Linked DNA regions of Astyanax mexicanus. The protein of the gene in region 2 interacts with the protein of the main gene of each other region in a biochemical or structural test. Links are inferred from orthologs where the notes say so. Each region holds a gene or a part of one and is shown on either strand. Other genes may lie near its edges.

Evidence for each region.
Region 1: the proteins of pou2f1b (region 2) and POU domain class 2-associating factor 1 are reported together in a solved structure, tested with the Homo sapiens proteins (2 studies listed by BioGRID, with this or other methods). The link is inferred for Astyanax mexicanus from reciprocal best matches to the Homo sapiens genes POU2F1 and POU2AF1.

The regions. Positions count from the first base shown.
Region 1 is NC_064425.1:6,053,770-6,063,999, reverse strand, and holds the start of POU domain class 2-associating factor 1, read right to left. Parts: upstream 4,542-10,230; 5' UTR 4,414-4,541; coding exon 4,398-4,413; intron 1-4,397. UniProt on the Homo sapiens protein: Transcriptional coactivator that specifically associates with either POU2F1/OCT1 or POU2F2/OCT2. It boosts the POU2F1/OCT1 mediated promoter activity and to a lesser extent, that of POU2F2/OCT2. It recognizes the POU domains of POU2F1/OCT1 and POU2F2/OCT2.
Region 2 is NC_064418.1:5,046,653-5,057,201, forward strand, and holds the start of pou2f1b (POU domain, class 2, transcription factor 1b), read right to left. Parts: upstream 4,060-10,549; 5' UTR 3,996-4,059; coding exon 3,950-3,995; intron 1-3,949. Other genes in the region: gpa33b (cell surface A33 antigen), read left to right, coding at 6,676-6,742, 7,837-8,006, 8,114-8,330, 10,396-10,549. UniProt on the Homo sapiens protein: Transcription factor that binds to the octamer motif (5'-ATTTGCAT-3') and activates the promoters of the genes for some small nuclear RNAs (snRNA) and of genes such as those for histone H2B and immunoglobulins.

The DNA.
Region 1 (10,230 bases), on a different chromosome or scaffold from region 2:
AATATATATTTTTTTGCCATGTATATACAGTATTATTAAACTGAATTTCTGTAGAAAATCTTGTTATTGCACTGACTGAACATCCATCACTGACTTAATAGGTAGTGCACAAGGCAAGACCACTGCTTATCTTTCTCTCTAATGAAACTGAAGGAATTTCAGTAAGAGTTCAGACCACACAGAAAAACTGCATAAATCACTTAATAACCGACCAGGAAAAATAAACAAACTCAACACAACCTTCTCCTATCTCCCACTCCTACACTTTAAGTGTGCTATAGCACTTTTAGACTAACACCCAGAAGTTTGGGACAGCATGAAAAACACAAATATAAAAAATAAGTAAAAGAAAACTCTGGATAAAAATGAAGAGAGCACTTCAGTTTCTGAATCAGTTTCTCTGATTGATTTTGTTATTTATAGGTTTATCTTTGAGTAAAATGAACATTTTATTCTATAAACTACAGACAACAATTCTCCCAAATTACAAGTAAAAATATTCTCATTTAGAGCATTTATTTGCAGAAAATGAGAAATGGCTGAAATAACAAAAAAGATGCAGAGCCTTCAGACCTCAAATAATGCAAAGAAAACAAGATCATATTCTTAAAGAGTTTTAAGAGTTCAGAAATCAATATTTGGTGGAATAACCCTGGTTTTTAATCACAGTTTTTTTTTTCATGCATCTTGGCATCATGTTCTCCTCCACCAGTCTTACACACTGCTTTTGGATAACTTTATGCTGCTTTACTCCTGGTGTAAAAATTCAGGCAGTTCAGTTTGGTTTGATGGCTTGTGATCATATATCTTCCTCTTGATTATATTCCAGAGGTTTTCAATTTGGTAAAATCAAAGAAACTCATCATTTTAAGTGGTCTCAATTTTTTTTTACAGAACTGTACATCCATTCCAGAATTCTGCGATTAAATTTCATAAAAAGTTGATATAGAGGACATTCATTTGATTTGGTGCAAAAGCAGTATCCACAAAAGAGTTTAAGGAACCTTAAATAATGATTTGAAGAGATGTATGTATTTTTCCCTATACATCCCTTAATATCATTAAACTATTCAAGGAATTGGGAAGTCTAAGCCTAAGAATCCCTGTTACCTCCTCTTGCTGATAGAACCACATGGGCAAGGGATTGCTTTAGTAAAGCTGTGTTAAACACTACAACATAACACACAACAATATAATATCTTGGGTTATTATTGTCTGCACTTAAATAAAAGCCAAATGAAATGTAAGAAACACTGTGCATTTTTCCTAAATTGGCTTTTTTGATTTGTGGTTGTGCGTGTATATTAGGGTTGTGACGATTCTCTAAATCCTCGATTCGATTTTATTTCCGATTTTAAGATCACGATTCGATTAAATTCTCGATTTTTCTTTTTTCTTTTTCTAACAGCAGAGAGGCCTATGCTAGTTTTAGATTAGTCTATGGTCAGTCATTGGTTTGATTCATCCAATTTACAATATCTTATTTTAAAAGGTGGGCTTGATATAAGTGATGCAAAGTGATTCAAGTGATCTGTAATACACCACATTAGGCACTAATGCTCAAATTTAAATAATTTAATTAAGATATATATGTAATGCCATCTAGTGGCTTTTTTTGGTAGCAGCAGTGTGCACTATTAAAACAGCAATGTGCAACATAACAAAATAAATAATAAAAACATACAGGAACAGTCATGTACAAAATAATAGAACAATTAGAGCCTTAACAAACTGAACTCTATCCTACTATAACAGTTAAACATTAAAAATAAGACTTTAAGACTTTTTCGGTCCCTGAGAATGACAAGTTTTTTTCTTTAATAAAGATATATTATTAACTTTATCTGAGAGAAAGATGCTCCTTAAGGTACCAAAACTATTAACATATTTGAGGCTAGACAAAACAACTGTTATTTTTATATGTTCAAGTTTTTCTTTAAGAAGATGAGAATGTCCACATTCTCTGGAGAAAGGGCAGCTCTTTGAGCAGTCACAATGTCCGCGTATCGAAAGTATCGGAATCGTGACACCCCTAATGTATGTGTATATTAGGATGGTTGCAATAAATTTGGAATGGTGGAAGAATTCAGTCAGTGACAAAATAAGCCAAAAGTATAGATACTGGGGTTTAAAATACTTCTGTAGAAGTTGAAGAAGTATCAACTCAAGCTTTTTACTCTTTAAGTAAAAGTGTTTAAAAAAGTACTGGATTCAAAACTACTTAAAAGTATAAAAGTAAAAGTAATGTAAGAGAAAAAAATAAAGCCCTTAAGAACAAAACCTTTTTTTTTTAATTGGCTCTTTCTTGAACTTAATTTTAAAATCAATATATTTTTTTAAATGAACACAAATCAAACAGTTTATGTCTCCAAACCTTTACTTTCGTTTTTTTATGTCTATTTTCAAACATGCAGAATTTGTGTTGACTCCTGTTACTGATCTGGAATTATTAATGAAGGCAGCTTCTTCAAGTGTCCTGAAGGAGATTTAAAGTTAGAATAGCAGCCCGTAAAGTTTTAGAGTGTAAATATTTTAAATTATTTTACTGCAGACACCTGTAGCTCTTATATGGGTCCATGCATGTTAATAGATTATTATATATATTTTTTTCATTTTTGATTTGTGGTTGTGCATTTCTATGAAGAAATCATGGTGGAAATCACAGTTGAGCGCAGAACTGCCTTGGAAATCACAAAAAATAATACATGTAATTTAACGTTTTTAAATCCAGTCACCTTAAAAAACAAGCAAACCACCAAACTAAAGCTCTGTAAGTTGTGGGTCAACAGTAGCTCTGAATAACTGCAGTCTGGCGGCACAATACAAGCACAGCAGGATTTCAGGGGGTTCAAAAAGAGGAAGCTCTGCAGCTGTGAAGACTTCTTTTTTTTATGCAGAAGAGAGACAATTGTGCTGTTTTGCATACCAAGATTAAACCACCAACCTCCCCCCATCCACCCCTCACCCCTCCAGAGCAGGACTGCTCTGCAGGGTGTTTAACACCTCCGCCGAGAGCGAGAGGACTCTCAAACGATAAGCTCATCACTACTCACGGTTTTATTATCACACCACAATAAAACACGGCGCATTACCACGCCTGCGTGATCCAGACAAACTGAATATAACCACTTCCACAACTGCACAGGGTTAATTATTACTGCTGGAAATAAAACAAGCAGCACCAGCTGACCATCTGGGTGCTGTAGGAACAAGCAATGAAATGAATATGGGCTAAAAAAAAAAAAACTGGTTATGGAATGTTTTAATAAAGTGATAAAAAACAGTGATATGAAAAATGTTGGGCTTTTCTGATCATTTTCATAATTTTTCTTCATAAATCATTGGTTGTTCAAGTCAGAAATTCTCCTTTATACTCAGTGTTGGGCACAATACTTTGAAAAAGTAATTAATTACAGTTACTAGTTACTTCTCCCAAAAAGTAACTAAGTTACTCCACTATAAAAGTAACTAGTTACCAGTAAAAGTAACTATTGCGTTACTTTTGTGTTACTTGTCCCCATTTATTTCAACGCCGTTATTCCCATCACTGTTTATACTAAATATCAAATGTTTGCAATCAGTGTTCAAAAATTTGCAAACTAAATTTCTATAATAAAATAAAAAGTAAAATTAAGTATATAGAATTGTGTCCGGCACGATGCCACCAATAGCTACAAAGCTTTAATGAATTTTTGAATATTAAAAATTAACATCAAGATCAAGAACCTATATTGGTTAGATTTGGTGTCTAACCAATCAAACCTGCACCAAGATTTTAGATTCATTTACATAACCCATGTCATTTTTAAATAGAATTGTTTATGAAATACCAAATTCTGAAGTGCTTTAACACATTATCAACATTATTTTTAATGCTGTTTTCACGATAATGATACTCTTGGCCATATAACACCAAAACTGAAAAACACTGAATTAAATTTCAAGAATACACTTCTGCAACAAAATGAAAATTTAAATAAATAATTGCATACGATATGATGTGGCACACCCCTAACTGAGATATTAAAAAATACAAGAAAAAATACAAGAATTTTACCAGAATTTTGATCCAGAATGTCACGATACTAATAATAATGCACTCCAAATATCTCCATATATCCAGGATTAAAGTATTAAAGTAAAATAAATGATACTGGACAGATATAATCTGTCTCTAGTAGATATATAATAAGAAATTAAAACAGTGTGAATTTTTCTTTAGCTAAAAATATGCCTTTATATCTCAATATTTTGTTTAAATGTACTTTTGTAGAATAAATAAACATATTTACCTATTTTTAAGTTTTTTGGCTTTAAAAAGTGTTTTAAAACTGCCCAAAATTTGCATTTAATCTTTTCTCTTTTGCAGTAAATATGTAATCATAAATTGTACTTACATTTTCCCATGTGCATACTCTGATTTGCAAAAAACAAAAAAAGATTTGGTTATTGTGTAAGCATTCAGATTTTCTTTCCGAATGTGCGCACGCTCGCCTCAGAATTCAGCATCGATTGCTTGAGTGAGCTGCTTTATAAAAGCTGCAGCAATGCAGTTTCAAGTGATGTCACCAAGATGCAGAAGCACCAGTTTCCCACTTAATTTAAATGTCTTGTGCTGTCCTTTTTTAAGAGTGCTGAGATCTTTAGCGTAACATTAAACACATTACAGCATTCAGACCAAACTCAACATTGTTTAATTTTAATAAGGACTCAAGAACTTACACAGTATTCTAGCTTTAGGAAATCTGAAATGTTTTTTATCCAGACCAGTTGTAAGCAGGTCTATCACAGTGATTTGATTTATCTACTGAATAAGAAGTGACAGCAGTAGTAAAGCTGGGCAGTGCTGTGGCTACTGCCACCATGGCACCATTGGACTTGATTTAACACAGTGGATCAACACCAGCAGATGACAGACATGTCTCTCCAAACCATCACTGATTGTGAAAAAAACTTCACACTAGACCTCAGGTTCAAAATGTGAAACTCATATATTATATAGATGTATTAAACACAGTGATCTATTTTAAGTGTTTTTTCTTTCATTGTTGATGATTATGATTATGGCTTACAGACAATGAAAACCCCCAAAAAACAGTGTCTCCAAACCATCACTGATCATCAGTAAATTTTACATTTCATTTTTAAACGAAGGGAGCAGAGTCTGGAGGAAGAGTGGAGAGACACACAGTCCAAGCTGCTCGAGGTCTAGTGTGAAGTTTCCACCAATCAGTGATGGTTTGGACAGAGGGAGACATGTCATCTGCTGGTGTTGATCCACTGTGTTTTATTATCAAGTCTAAAGTCAAAATCTTACAGCACTTCATGCTTCCCTCTGCTCAAAACAACTTTTATGGAGATGCGGATTTTATTTTCCAGCAGGACTTGGCACACTGCCCACACTGCCAAAAGTAAATTTTCTGAGACACTGATTTTTGGGTTTTTTAATTTTTTTTCATTTCTAAATGAGTCAATGCTTTTCAAGAAATGGAAAAAGTATAAAATGTCTCACTTTAAACTGATATCTGATTTGTGTTTATGTTATACTCTGAATGAAGTGTGGGTCTATGAGAATTACGATTCATTGCAGTTTGTTATTATTCACATTCATTTTACACATTTTTCAGAGTATCCCAACTTTTTTATAGAAGTTGAGAACATGGAAATCTATTTAACATATTGTATGATTTAAAATGATCATGAGTTGTTTGAATCTGCTGCCCAAATTACGTTTGTGAGAGTTTTGGAGCTGAGCTGAAACTGCCAGGCCAGTGGATTTATCAGTATCGAAAAGGAAGCACCTGCTCAGAGTTTAAGGTTCACTGACCATCTGATCATCACCGTGTTTCCTGTCCCAGCTCTTCTCAATTTTAATTTAGCACCAACAAACCCAAGGCCCGGCTTAAAAAGAGCAAAATAACAGACGATCAAGACCAGGAACAAGACAGTATTGACACAGCATCCAGCATAGTACATTTATCACTTAACCCCTTAACATGCCGTGTCCTGCATACAGGCTACAGGTGTAGGTGATACAGAATACTTTTTTCTGCAGTAAAATTACTAAATAATAATTTACACTCTAAAAAAATTGAGGGTTTTTAAATCTCCTACAGGACACTTGGAGAAGCTGCCTGTTTTCTCTCTACTCCACTTAATGATTCCGGTTTCAGGTTTGAAACAGACGAAAAAACTAGACAAATATAATGAAATTAAAGGTTTGGAGGATGTAAACTGTTTGATTTGTATTCAGGAAAATACTGATTTTAAAATGAAACAGGAAACTTCATTATTTTGACATTAGTAGATTTACTTAAATATATTTTTTTATTTTTTGTTTCAATTACAATTATGATTTCCAGTAATGTTTCTTATCAAACATGAAAGCTTTTTATGTAATGCTTGAATAGAAATCCTCAAGATTTAGTGGTGTAACGTCAAGCAGACAATTGCCAAAAGTCCTGGCCTGTTAATGGTTACATTTAAATTTATTGTTAATTGAGCCATTAATCATATATATATATATATATATATATTGTTACATCAGAACAAACCACTTTCTAATAATTAGCATTGCTCTTTGTATTCCATGGTCATTTCCACTGGGTTACCCTTAACAATTAACAGAGAACAATAATAATGAACAGAGAAAAGTAAGGAAATACAGAACTTACTGCATCTATATCAGGTTATGGTTACGGTAGAACAGCCTTTCTCCATGGCGCTCAATACAAAATGAAAAATACACTACTGTAGCTTCCTAAAAAACTGATGCATTTAAACAAGCATTGTCTAATGCAAACTACAGCGGTGGCTTGATGCAAAAAGATGCAACTGATGCAATTTCCATAGGCCTCAGTGGATACAAAGTAAGACGTCAAAGCAATCCATCAAAGTGCAACGTGCACAGTTATCTTGTCACAACACTACCTGTGATATACTGTTTACTCCCTTCAGGGTAGCGTCCAGTACATTCACTACCATTACTAAACGACCCACAAACAATAAGGTCAAGCACCCAGTGACCCACACTCAACCCCCTGACCTTTAATGCAGCTGTACGTTATCATAAACCTATCATTTTCCAGCTTTACGCCTGGAGCCACCAGTAAAGAGTGTCACATTGTTCAGAGAAGAGACACAGTTCCTGGTCACAAGTGCTCACAAGTGCTCACACGCAGCTGGCCCTCCACGCGGGAACTCACTGCCTGTGCTGTTCAGGGTGAGGATTTCACATTCTGCAGTCTGGAGCTGCGTCTGACCAAAGCAGCACAGCAGTGTAGGTGCAGGTAATATATGGCTTTAGAAGATTAGACAGAGATTAAGCAGTGAAAGCCCCTTCAGGCTGCCCTCGGGGATCAGGGCTGGGAGGAATCTGCCAGCAGAAGTGTTGCAGAGATCACTTAAAACATGTCATCTAGAAGTGAAGTGTGAACACACATTATTTAAAGTGACACATAATCATTAATGTCAAAAATACACGCGGCATATCTTTAAATACTGTGTAAAACATGGTGCATTGCAATATGTTGGAATATGAAGGAAATGTACTGTATTTATAACGGCCTATTTGTCCTAATTGATCAAAATTCTGATAATTATTTATAGTGTTTTAGTTAAGACTTTTATTACAGTACCAGGCCAATTTTTGGCCACACCTTGTCATTCAATGTTTTTATTTATTTGATGGAATAACTCTGGTTTTTAATCACAGTTTTCATGCAAATTGGCATATTTTAAGCACCACATACCTGTAGTCATTCATGTCAAAAATACACGCAGTTACTTTGTTGGTCTATTTTTAAATGCTGTGTTATAACATGGTATACTGCAGTGTGTTGGAATATGAAGGAAATGAACTGTATTTGTATCACATAGCTTATTTTTCCTAATTAATCAAATTTCTGATCAATATTCTTATTGAGACTTTTATTACAGCACCAGGCCAATTTTTGGACACACTTTGTCATTCAATGTTTTTATTTATTTGAGGGAATAACTCTGGTTTTTTAATCACGGTTTTCATGCATATTGGCATGTTGGCGGGCTCCAGCTCATCCCAAATCACTATCTCAGTTGATCAGGTTTAGATCAGGGGATTAATGTGGAGGATTAACACTTTTTTTTACTGTTTAATATGTAATTCCATATGTACTCCTTAACTGTTTATCCTGTTTACATTATTTTAAGCACCACATAATCAATAATGTAAAAAATACACGCAGTTACTTTGTTGGTCTATCTTTAAATACTGTGTAGAACATGTTATACTGCAATGTGTTGGAATATGAAGGAAATTTACTGTATTATTAAAATTCTGATCATTATTCATAGTTTTTAGTTGAGACTTTTATTACAGCACCAGGCCAATTTTGGACACACCTTGTTATTCAATGTTTTTATTCATTTGAGGGAATAACCCTGGTTTTTAATCACAGTTTTCATGCATATTGGCATCTTGGCAAGTTCCCGCTCATCCCAGATCACTATTTTATTTGATCAGGTTTAGATCAGGGGATTAATGTGGAGGATTAACACTTTTTATACTGTTTACTACATAATTCCATATGTATCCCTTAACTGTTCATCCTGTGGTAATGGGAAACACAAATAAAAAAGCCAAGTTAATCTGTTTTAGAAAGGTTAATCTACTGACATACATCAAGCAAAGAAAACATAATTCCATGTAAAGTTCTTCAGTATTTAAAAAGTGACCCAGGGATGAGATGTTCAGGACAAATGAGACAAGAAGATTTGAAATGCTGCAGGGCGCAAACCCAATACTGCCTATTTCTCAACGATCCCAATCCCAGCTGTGAAGCTTTTCCTCAGTGAGGAAAGGAGTGTGGATGATGCATACACAACATACTAGTGCATGTCAAAATATTATATTGAAAATATCATTGAAAAGTTGCTTTATATCAGTAATTCCATTAAAAATGTGAACACAGATCTATGTTAAGCATGTGTTTATTTTATAGTTGAAAACCCGACACCAGCAGATGAAATGTCTCTCCAAGTCTTTATTATCAAGTCTAAAGTCAGTGCAGTTTTGTTTTCCCACAAAATCTTACAGCACTTCATGCTTCTCTCTGCTGAAAACAACTTTTATGGAGACGTGGATTTCATTTTCCAGCAGGACTTGGCACACAGTACCAGTTGGTTTCATATAATATTCATATTTTCTAAGACACAGATGTTGGGGTTTTCATTGGCTGTAAGCCATACGTAGATCACTCTGTGTGTAATATATTACATTACATTACATTACATTTGGCAGACGCTTTTGTCCAAAGCGACTTACAATAGTCAAGTACAATGTAAAATAAGTTTAAAGGTAAAAACATCTTTGGATAGGGATAAAAGGAGGTCAAAGGGGAATAATTGGATAGAGGAGTGAAGGAGGGGAAGAAGGAAATGAGGTTAGAAGTAGTTAGTTAGTTAGAGGTGTTAGTAGAGTAAGTGCTCTTTGAAGAGCTCTGTCTTCAGGAGTTTATTAAAGATAGTGAGAGATTCTCCTGATCTGGTAGTAGAAGGTAGTTAGTTAGAGGTGTTAGGAGAGTAAGTGCTCTTTGAAGAGCTCTGTCTTCAGGAGTTTATTAAAGATAGTGAGAGATTCTCCTGATCTGGTAGTAGAAGGTAGTTAGTTAGAGGTGTTAGGAGAGTATTAGCTCTTTGAAGAGCTCTGTCTTCAGGGGTCTCTTAAAGATAGCGAGAGATTCTCCTGATCTGGTAGTAGAAGGTAGTTAGTTAGAGGTGTTAGGAGAGTATTAGCTCTTTGAAGAGCTCTGTCTTCAGGAGTTTATTAAAGATAGCGAGAGATTCTCCTGATCTGGTAGTAGAAGGTAGTTTGTTCCACCATTGGGGAACTCTGTATGAGAACAGTCTGGATTGCTTTGTGTGAATGTTTGTTTGGTAAAGCGAGGCGACGTTCATTGGAGGAGCGCAGCGGCCGGGAGGTAGCGTAAGCCTTCAGGAGCGAGTGCAGGTAGGAAGGAGCCTGTTCTGTCATCACCTTGTAGGCGATATATATCTATTTAATATATGAGTTTCTGAAATAAAGTAACTTTTCAATGATATTCTAACTTTTTGAGATGCACTAGTATTCCAGTGTTAAATGAAAAGTGATCAAAGGAAAACTATTTTTATTGTTAAATGATATACAAAACACTAATTGTAAAAGTTAATTGTATATACGTGACTATAATTCATCTCTATACTTAAAAGAAC
Region 2 (10,549 bases):
CCGCACAATGTAAATAAAAATCACTGAATGGTACTAAGTATGGCCACTAAAGCATGTTTGTTGTGTCAAAACATGAACTAATGTACTAAAATACTGTAATACAATACAGTACCACAGTTTCTAAAACTACACACAGCTATGCTGCTATTTCTCACTGATAAAAGCTAGATTTGCTGCTGTGTTCCTGGGTATTGGTTTCATTCATCCCTCAGTCTATTAATTTTGGGAGGCTTTTGTTTGAGTCTTTCAGATCATTCAGTAATGGGGCTGCCACTTGTTTTCAGCTCTTACAGGCAGCTTTGAAACACTCCCTCCCCAGTTACATGCAACAAAAACATGACTGAAATCCACCTCAGTTGTTCATGCACAGCAATAAGTTATTAACGCAACACACAGACGTGTTTCAGCTTGCCACAGCTTCTCACAGGCCGGGCTCGATACAAACATAAAAGAACATCTTTCTGAGCAGAGCAGGTCTACGCGTTACCTTCGGGACAGCGGCTCTCTTTTTTTTTTCCTGGCACGTCCCATTAGACTTTCTAATGAGGCCCTAGGCTAATGGGCCTAAGCCTATGCATTCTTTAATCGCAAACCAACACCTCCCCCATGCAGCTACAGGAGAGCAACAGACACACTTTAAAAACATGAGAAAAGAGAAAAGAAAGAGAAAGAGGCAAAAGTCAGTGAACTGTTACAATAAATCAGCCAAATGTCCATGCTAGGCTACAACACCAAGGATATTAAAATGATGGCGAGATGTGAAATGTGGGGCAAAAAAAGAGAAGACAGCAAAATGTAAAAAAAAAATAATAATAAATAAATAATAAAAGAAAGAAAAACCCTCAGATGATACTCAAATACAATAAGCATTTATAAGTATAAAGAGGCTTGTAAAATGTAAAACAGCGATGAATTAATTCATGTTAATGTATTTTGTTTGGGTTTTTGAATAAAATTGTAATCTATGTTATGGAAGTAAAACACATACAGCAAACGTTTTACAAACTTGGCTACAAGACTTGAATGTGCTTGTAAAGCTAAATTTGGCTTAGTTAGCTCACTTAACAGTCCATCTTAAATGCATTTGTGTATTAGTTTAATTTTGGTGCCTGAAAATGTAGAATTTAAGGAAAAAAGGATAGGATATAGGGAGTCAAAAAAGGCCTGTATATTGCTGTATCAGCAAGAAACAAGCGTGAAACTGAAGCGAGTGGACTGCTTGCCTCTTGTCCAGGCTGCTCAGGCCTAAGTTAATGAAATTCATTCAGCCGCTAGCTGGCCTGCTACATATGCAGCAGCAGCAACAGCTGCCCGGCTACAATAGGGCAATAGAGCCCAGCTCACTGGCAGCATAACCTACTCCAGATATTGGCTAAAACGCCTGCAGAAAACTCAATGAACTGTTTAGTCAGCTGTATACATACCCATGAAATGGGCTAAGCTAGCTACAACCTATTTAGCCCACCTTTTAATTTGGCTCTACTAGCTTGGCCTGGTGTAAACAATGTAGTGTTACAATTGTTTTTAAAAGGTGAATATCCACCAACACAAAGAGAGACAAGAGAGGCTAGCCAATGTAGTTAGCTGTTATTCTAGCTGTTTAGGCATAGATAGATAAATAGCTAATCTGGGAGTGTGTCATTGTGGGATTTAGCTAGTTATTCAGTGTGAATATTCTGAACAGTATCTGCTCTGTAGTCTTTATCTGCTCTAACTACATGTTATCTGCAGGTATGGGGGAAAGAAATTAAAGAATTTGGACTTTTTAACACAGAGAAAATTAAGACCACTTTAACAAACCCAGCATTAGTATGCCTCACATTAGTTTACAACCTTTATAATAATATTTCCCTGCATCATCTGATAAACCAATGTCTAAAAAAATAGGTTAACTAGTTAATTCAGTGCTGCACAAACAAAAATGGGTCTTGTAGCCAGATAAGCTTACCAGTGCACAAGAACATATTATGCAGCAAATAATACTGCAGAATATTTAGTGCATGCATATAAACTGCAAACTAAAACAAATATACAATAATACACCTAACGCTTCACAGTAAATAATAGACTACTTTTAAGACAGAACAGCCCTATTATCACGATATGGATTTTTCATATGTTATTTCTGTGTCACGATATATTGCATACGATATAATATTGCCCACCCCTTATCTGCAGGTATGGGGGAATAAAATCAAAGACGAAATTAAGACCACTTTCACAACCCCAAAATTACTAGACATTCGTTTCAGCCTTTATAATAAGTCTTTCCTGCATTTATTGATGACCAATATATTAAATATTAGTTTGTTAATTAACTAGTTGGCTAGGTTCACACTGCTGCACAAACAAAAATGGGACTGGAAGTTCATATAACCTAGGTAATACAATTAAACAAGGTTCGGTGCAAAACTGGGGCTTTGTAACCAGTTTTCATTACATTTAGGCTTAATAACCCTTAATATAAAAAGATAGTTCAGTTATTAGCTACTAACTAACTAAATAAGTAAGATAACTTAGCTAACTTGCATATCAAATAGAAAAACTGCGAAATATAACTAGACAAAATGAATCCTAAGTAGTGTTTACTGTCGATGAAATTGTAAGGCCTTTGAAAGACAGGTTTACGATAAATGCAGGCCTTTTTCTTTAAGCTAAATTAATTTAAGTGTCTGCACATCTGTTGTCTTTAACGTAACAGCCAACAACAACAGGCCCACATGAATAGCTAGTTAGCTAAGCTAGGTTAGCTAACACACACATATAGCTATATACACACAACGGGGCCACACGCCTGCTTCTCCTGCTGCAGTGGGACACAAAGGCAGAAGACAAAATATGGACATAAAATCAGCCTTAGAAGCTCCCCTGTCCTTCAGCCCGCACCGAGCAGCCCTCCGCCGCTCGGCAGATCACATTTACGGTTGTAAACACTGCGCGCAGACGCCGAGCGATTGCGAGGAAATGAATATGCAAAGCTTTTATCAGCCATAGGCTCCCAGCACACAATACACAAACACACAAAGCCGCCGTATTAGCATTAGCATTAGCCTTAGCGTTAGCGTAGCGCCGGTGTCCTGCCAAGTTGTGCTATTCATCGAAATGTGCTTCTCAACACCAGTGCGCATGCGTGGAACCACTTTTTTATTTTTATTTGTATGTTTTTAATAGCAATTCTGTTCTAACTGGGTGTGTTAAACAACCAGACGCACCTGCCAGTATTAGTATAGAGTATTACAACTGTGTAAATGAGGATAATAATAAAAAGTTGATAATAATAAAAAGAATAATAATAAAAAACTATTAAATATAACATTAAATACAAAAATACGTTACTGGTTATGCATATCACCCCTATTAACTTAACGTTAACTTTAAACTGTGTCCTTATATGCTGATTCAAGCTTTCCAAGCGAGGCATTTTTTTGGGGGGTCTTTTTCTTGCATTTTTACGTTTAAATATAATTACACTAGAGTAGCATGGTTTGCCAGGGTAGCACAACTCGACAGAACACCGGCCGCCCGGCTCCCTCTCTCTCCCTCTCTCTGTGCCCCGACACCGGGGGGATAATACCCCACAACCGCGGGCTCGGACTGGGACCGGAGTAAATAACAATAATAATACTAACCCGCTGTGATGCCGCTGATTACTAATAAAATATGCTAAACCGCGTTCTCCCGGCCGCAATATGAATATGTAAGTCGCGCAGCTCCGCTCTAATCACACAAAGAGGGGGATTTTCGCCTTTAATTCTCCGTCGCCCAGCATCGCCACTTTCCCCCTCACACCGCCGACAGCTCCCCAGCACCGAGCGGCCGACAGACAGCCCGACCCCGCCGCCGCCGCGGCCCCGGGGGCTCTGTTCACGCGCTCCCCTCTCGCTTAACGGGCTTGAGAGAAAGAGCGTTTGAATATGAATATGAATATGTAAAATGCAGTAATGATTACCTGCTCCTGAACTCTCATCTTGACTCGCTGCTCCTCCGTCCGCCATTTTGAATATTTAAACTCAGATCCCAGCCCAACAGCAGCAGCAACAGCAGCGCCCCATTCAACACACACACACACACACACACACACACAGAGTGGCAGTGAACTTCACACTCTCTCACACACCTCTGAATGCTGAATGAACCTCCACACACACACACACACTCATACACACCAGGATACTCATCACTCCATAAAAGAAGTTTACTGAATGCAATGTAAATGTGCGGTTCATGCTGCAGTTGTTCTGCAGGTTTAGGTTCAACAACAGTATGTGCTGAAAGAATGAGAATGAAAGCTGACTACCTGAATATATTGAATATTATAGACCAGCTTATTCCATCAATGGATTTCATCTTCATTGATAACACGGCCATATTCTGAGATGACAATGCTAGGATTCATGGGGCTGGATTTGTGAAAGAGTTCAGGGTTCAGGGAGCATGAGATCATAATTTTCTTTACACATGGATTGAGAGAGTTCACCACAGAGTCCAGACCTTAACCTCATTGAGAATCTTTGGGATGTGCTGGATGGAGAAGAGCTGCTTTGTGCAGCGGTCAGACTCTACCATCATCAATACTGCAAGATCTTGGTGAAAAATTAATGCAGCGACACTGGATTTCAATAAATCTTGTGATGTTGCAGAATCTTATTAAAACAATGAATGTGTTCTTATTCTGCAACCAAAGCCAAAGGCGGTCCAATTAAATATTAGTTTTTGGTGGCGACTTTTTTATTTTTTGGCCAGGCAGTGTATTTTGCAGTCCAGCAATCCTGTAAAAAGACAATGTGGAAAGTTTTCTGTTTTTGGTCTTCAATAGTGTAACCTGACCTTTACCATTCCTGTAAAATGCCATTCTTTAGGCAACTGATGAGTTCACAACAGTTCAACTCCACCCAATGGCCAAAACATACTAGTGCATCTCAAAATATTTGAATATCATTGAAACTGATATATTATATAGATGTATTACACACAGAGTGTTAAATTCTTTTAAGTGTTTATTTCTTTTATTGTTGATGATTATGGCTTACAGCCAATGAAAACCCAAAAATCAGTGTCTCAGAAAATTTAAATATTATATAAGACCAATTGGTACTTTTGGCAGTGTGGGCAGTATGCTAAGTCCTGCTGGAAAATGAAATCTACATCTCTGCATCATAAAAGTTGTCGGCAGAGGGAAGTATAAAGTGCTGTAAGAGGGAAAACAAAACTGCACTGACTATGGACTTGATAGAACACAGTGGATCAACACCAGCATATGACATGTCTCTCCAAACCATCACTGATTGGTGGAAACTTCACACTAGATCTCAAGCAGCTTGGACTGTGTGTCTCCACTCTTCCTCCAGACTCTGCTCCCTTGATTTACAAATGAAATGTAAAAATTAACTGATGGTCAGTAATGCTTTGAAGAGTCCACTGTCCCTATGACTTTTGTTTTGACCCTTTTTTTTAACCACATTTATTCTTGCTGTTTAATCAATTGCACATGTAATTTTAAAATCCAAGTGGTTTGAGTTTATCCAAAAAAGGTTGGATTAATTGCTCAGTTTACCAATTTTACTTATTTCCATAGTTTACTCATTACTTTAGACTTAGCTCAGACTTCTAAATAATAATAATTGATACCAATGATATAGTGCCATCTGCTGGATAGAACAGCTTATGCATCGTTCAGAACACCAACCTCAATATGCCCCACCTGATCCAACTCATTCATCTCTTCAGAAGGGCTTGTTTGGCTTGATGAGGAGTGTTAGACTGAAATTGGAGGTAAAAACTGCTGAAAAATACAATGTATCTCAATGAGGCAGCCTGAATACTGTTATATAGGGGATATGGGGGAATAAACAGATTACAGACAACCGAACAAGCATTACCCAGTGTATATTAATTAGTATACACTGCTCATTACTATTCCACATGCCAAACATTAGCCTACACAGTACTGGAAAATATTTAACTTGGCAGAAGTGAGTGTAGAAAAGTGACTTTACAGCATATATAAGCATATTTATGTTTTTTTTGTCTTTACAGTATGCACTGTCTTTAGTAAGAAATAAAGACCTTAAAGAAAGGCAATTTAAAATAATAGGTGTAGCTTTGAATATCTAGATGAATGTGTATGACTTAGTAAGAAACTAAAAAAATAAAGTATACTAAAATATATATATAGTAAATGCAACCTTTGCAGCAAGTTACACATAAAACACAGTTTCTTTTTTCTCATGACAATTATTATTAATTTATTATATACAGTAATACAATGACCAAATTAAAGTCTGTGCCAAAGCTTGGGCACCTTACAAATGTAATTACAGCCTGCAGATACTTATTGTTGCTAAAATGATTTGCTTTTCTGGGATTTGTTAAATGTTTGAAGACAATGGAATCCATCATTGAGGGCAAACCTGGCTCTATGTACATGAGCACAACTCTTATACTCTTGCTATATTTCATTCTTATGCTCAGAAAGTAGACAACAACTTCAGTACTGTGGTTTTTATAGTAATTCAAAGGGACGCTCACTGAAAGTCCAAAGGGTGAACAGGTGTGGCTGGTGAGGGTGTGCAGATGGAGCCGTTTTATTTGTCACACCTATTGACCCAGCAGTCATAAGGAAGTGTGCAGACACCAAACCGTCAAGTATTTATTCTGTTACAGGACTGAAATAAAATGACCAGAGAGAGCAGAATGGACAAGCGGAAACTGAGAATCTGTGGGATTGGGGTGCTGTTTTCAGGTAATATTAGAATACATTATTTTTTTGTATCATTAATGAATATGGTATTGAATGTAATTTTTTTTAAACAACAAAATTCTTGGTTTTGTTGTTCAAATGTGACAGCAGTATTTCAGTAATTATGTTTTCATTAAAATATATTAGTCAGTATTACATCAATGAAAATATATTTTCTTTCAGTTATTTTTGACCATTTTTAACCACTTTCACTTTACACAATGTTAAGGACAAGCAGCATTTCCTTATGTGTAAATAATATGTAAAAATAACCGAAAATATACAGAATATGTTATGGAAGTGGAAATATATGTATTTGAGAAAAAAAGACAGAGAGAGGAAAGTTTTAAAAAGCACATAGATCAACCAAAAAAATAATCATGTTCATTCATTTTGAATATCGGGTGGGTCAAAAGGTAAAGAGCGGAAGTACTAGGGCAAAATAGGCCAAACGACTTTTTTAAAAACAAATTTTGCTTTGATTTTAATACATTTTAATATGAATATCAACTAAAAATTTGCTACAAAAAGTTCTGTATTATTTCTAATTGGGGTTGTTTAAGGATTCTTTAACAAATACATTTGAATGTTATTTAAGGCTATACTGTTAGCAAGCATGGCCTTATATAGCTCTATCTTGTAACAATATGGAACACTTTTTTGGAAAACACCAAAAATTGTTTTGCAAGTGTTACAATTTATAGAACATTTTTTCTAACAATGTAGTAAAATGTCAAAGTTCCATAAAACACACCTGAATAAATAAATGGAAAGCCATTATAAAGCTGTATTTAGGAAATAATTTTTTAGCTATGTGTTAAAGGTGCATGTAATGACTATTGGATTTCCATTTAGAGTGGTGGATACTGGCTGGTGTTATAGATGTTATCTGGAGAAGGAATTGTCAAAAACGAATAGGAAAAACTAGAATGCATTCTGTCTTATCTGTCCATTGTTTGTAGATCTGTTGTTCTTTGGCCTTCATTTAAGAGAAATGAAATGTATTGTGTTGTGTGGCATTGCCTGCTCTGTGTTTTTACAAAAAATAAGTTATAAAACACCTGCCATGTGGTTTCTTTTGGTTTCTTTCTCCGTAGTGATTTCTACTTCTTTTGGGTTGGAAGTTAATATTCCACAATCCACATATAAAGTTGCTCGAGGTGACCAAGTTGCCATCACATGCACTTTTCAGCCCAAAAACCCAGTGAATAATCTCATTATCATCTCATGGACTGCTGACCCTGATGGCTCATTTGATGATGAAGGGGTAAGTGTGAAAAAAAAACATTTGGATGAGTTTTCCTAGAAAACAGATGACTATAGAAAGGTTCTTTGCAAATAACAAAACTGCATCTCTTCTCCCTTTCAATATAGCTTAATTTTGGGACGTTCTACTCCAATGACAACCATGTCGACATTGATCCAATGTATGAGGGCAAAATCCAGATTGACAGCAATGTGAACACTCGAGTCTCTACACTGACACTGAAGCAAGCGACCCTGAGAGAAAACAGGCGAATCAAATGCCGAGTTAATATTCCTGGAGATACTGTGGGCCAAACTACAGCCACTACTTCCCTTGTGGTTCTGGGTGAGAATAAATTAATCATAATTAAAGTAATTTCAGTTTAAAATGTGATATGTGTTCCAATGCCTAGGGTGCAGCTGAGTTGGTCTGCAGTGTTTCTGTGATACACAATGGAACTCAGTTTTAAAGTGTAGAGCCCTTACATACAGCAAAGTGCAGTGAAATGAAGTGATTTGAAGGGCACAACTGATGCATCATGACGTATCTGACCCTTGAATACCCATAAAAGAAAAAACAAGAAAAATAGCAGCACTGAAATTGGGTAAAAGTGGCCGAAAGCGAAGACTTCATTACAACTTTATAAATTATTTATAATGTATTTATGTGAAGAAATTAGTTTTGTGCCGTAAGTAATCACATGATATATGCATTGGACATCACCACAAAGCCTCATTAAGGCCTAGAAAGTCAGATTGGATTTACATAAGGAAAATAAATATATATATATATATATATATATATCAGATGCACATAATAAAATAATTTTAATTAGAAGAAATATATATTAATGCCGAACACTTAAATGTTTTATTTGTTATAAAACATTCTAACAGTTTTACTATTAATTTAATGCAAATTATAGTTTAGTGAATTATTATTTATTCAGCCAACATGACTTTTAATACTCATTTAAAGCCGAACTAAACTAACATGTATTAATATTTATTTAATCAAAATTATAGTCTTAACATAATTCACAATCTAACAATTATCATCTTCACAAGTGATAAATGAGTTATTCTGAATTAGTTAATGAGTGGTTCATAAGCATTTTGACAACATAAAGGCAAACACAAAGGCAATTTGCAAACACAATATTCTTAAACATTAAGTCAAAATCTTTCTTAAAAATAAATTGACCAATAGAAATGCTCCAAATTGACCTGAAATAAACTATTTTTACATTCACTTTAATTTAAAGTTAAGTAGATTTTATCTCACTCCTGTAAAGTAGCTGTTTTGGAGATACCTATCTATCAATGCTTCCAGCACACCTGACCCAACAATGTAATTCATTAACAAGTCCTTATTTCTTACTGAGGTAAAGTGGGCGTGTCAAAGCAGAGGAAACTGGTGCAGTGTGCAGGACAAGGGGCCTTCCAGGACCAGGGCCATAAACCGCATTTTAAACTGTTGTAGAATTGAAAAGTACAGTTGTAAATCTCTGACCTCACAATAGCCTGGTATCTCTAAACCTCAGTAAATACACAACCTAAAGAGTGGAAGTAGGAGTAGGAAGTATTTACACATTTTGAAACAGCACACCAACCCATCATACTGTTACAACACTTCACTGGCAGCTCCTAAATAGTTTTCAAGTGGTTCTTGGCTTGAATAAATAGATGGTTCTAGGAAGTTAATACAGAGTCCTACATTATTTGGAGGTTCTTTAAACTTGAGAAATATTTTTAAACTCATATTTCACTTACAACAAGAATGCAAAAACTGCTTTTCTAACTCATTATTTTAAATATTGCTTCTTGGCACATCTATTTTTAAAAACGTATGTGCTGTGTACTGGATTACAATTACAAACCCAAATCAGAAATCTGCTCAACTTAATATGCATTTCAGTCAAAAGTTCTTAGCATCTTGAAGGAGTTCCTTGAGGTGCTCCAGTTCATCCTAAGTCATCGCCTCAGTTAATCAGGTTTAGGTCGGAAAATTGTGGAGGACAAATAAATTCTTTATGTTTTTTACTGTTTTGCAGATGTTCCAAATGTTATAACATTGGAATGGAAAACTAGAAACTATCTGTAGTTTTAAGGAGTTTATTAAGATGTTTAAGAATATTTCAAATATATAGCAGTGTAGTCAAATAAATTATTTAGGCAGGAGCAGCAACACAACAAGCTTCATAATGTGTGCAAATAGCCTGAATGTTTTATTTTGGCCAAATGCATTTAATCTTCATTTTACACTCTAAACAGTAATATTAAATATTGCATATGCATGTTAATGCATCTACTCTTTTATATACATACTAAATATTCTCTAACATTATCTATATCTATTACACTATTATATGAGCCTAATGTAGTGCTGATTTGTATGCTTCTGTTCACAGTTGCCCCATCTGACCCTGTGTGCAAAATTAAAGGAACCGCTGAGTATTGGCAAAACATCAGCCTGACCTGTGTCTCTGAAGAGGGTTCTCCACTTCCCACCTACAAGTGGCAAAGCTATGATGTCAGAAACACTCCGAGATCATTCCCACCTAA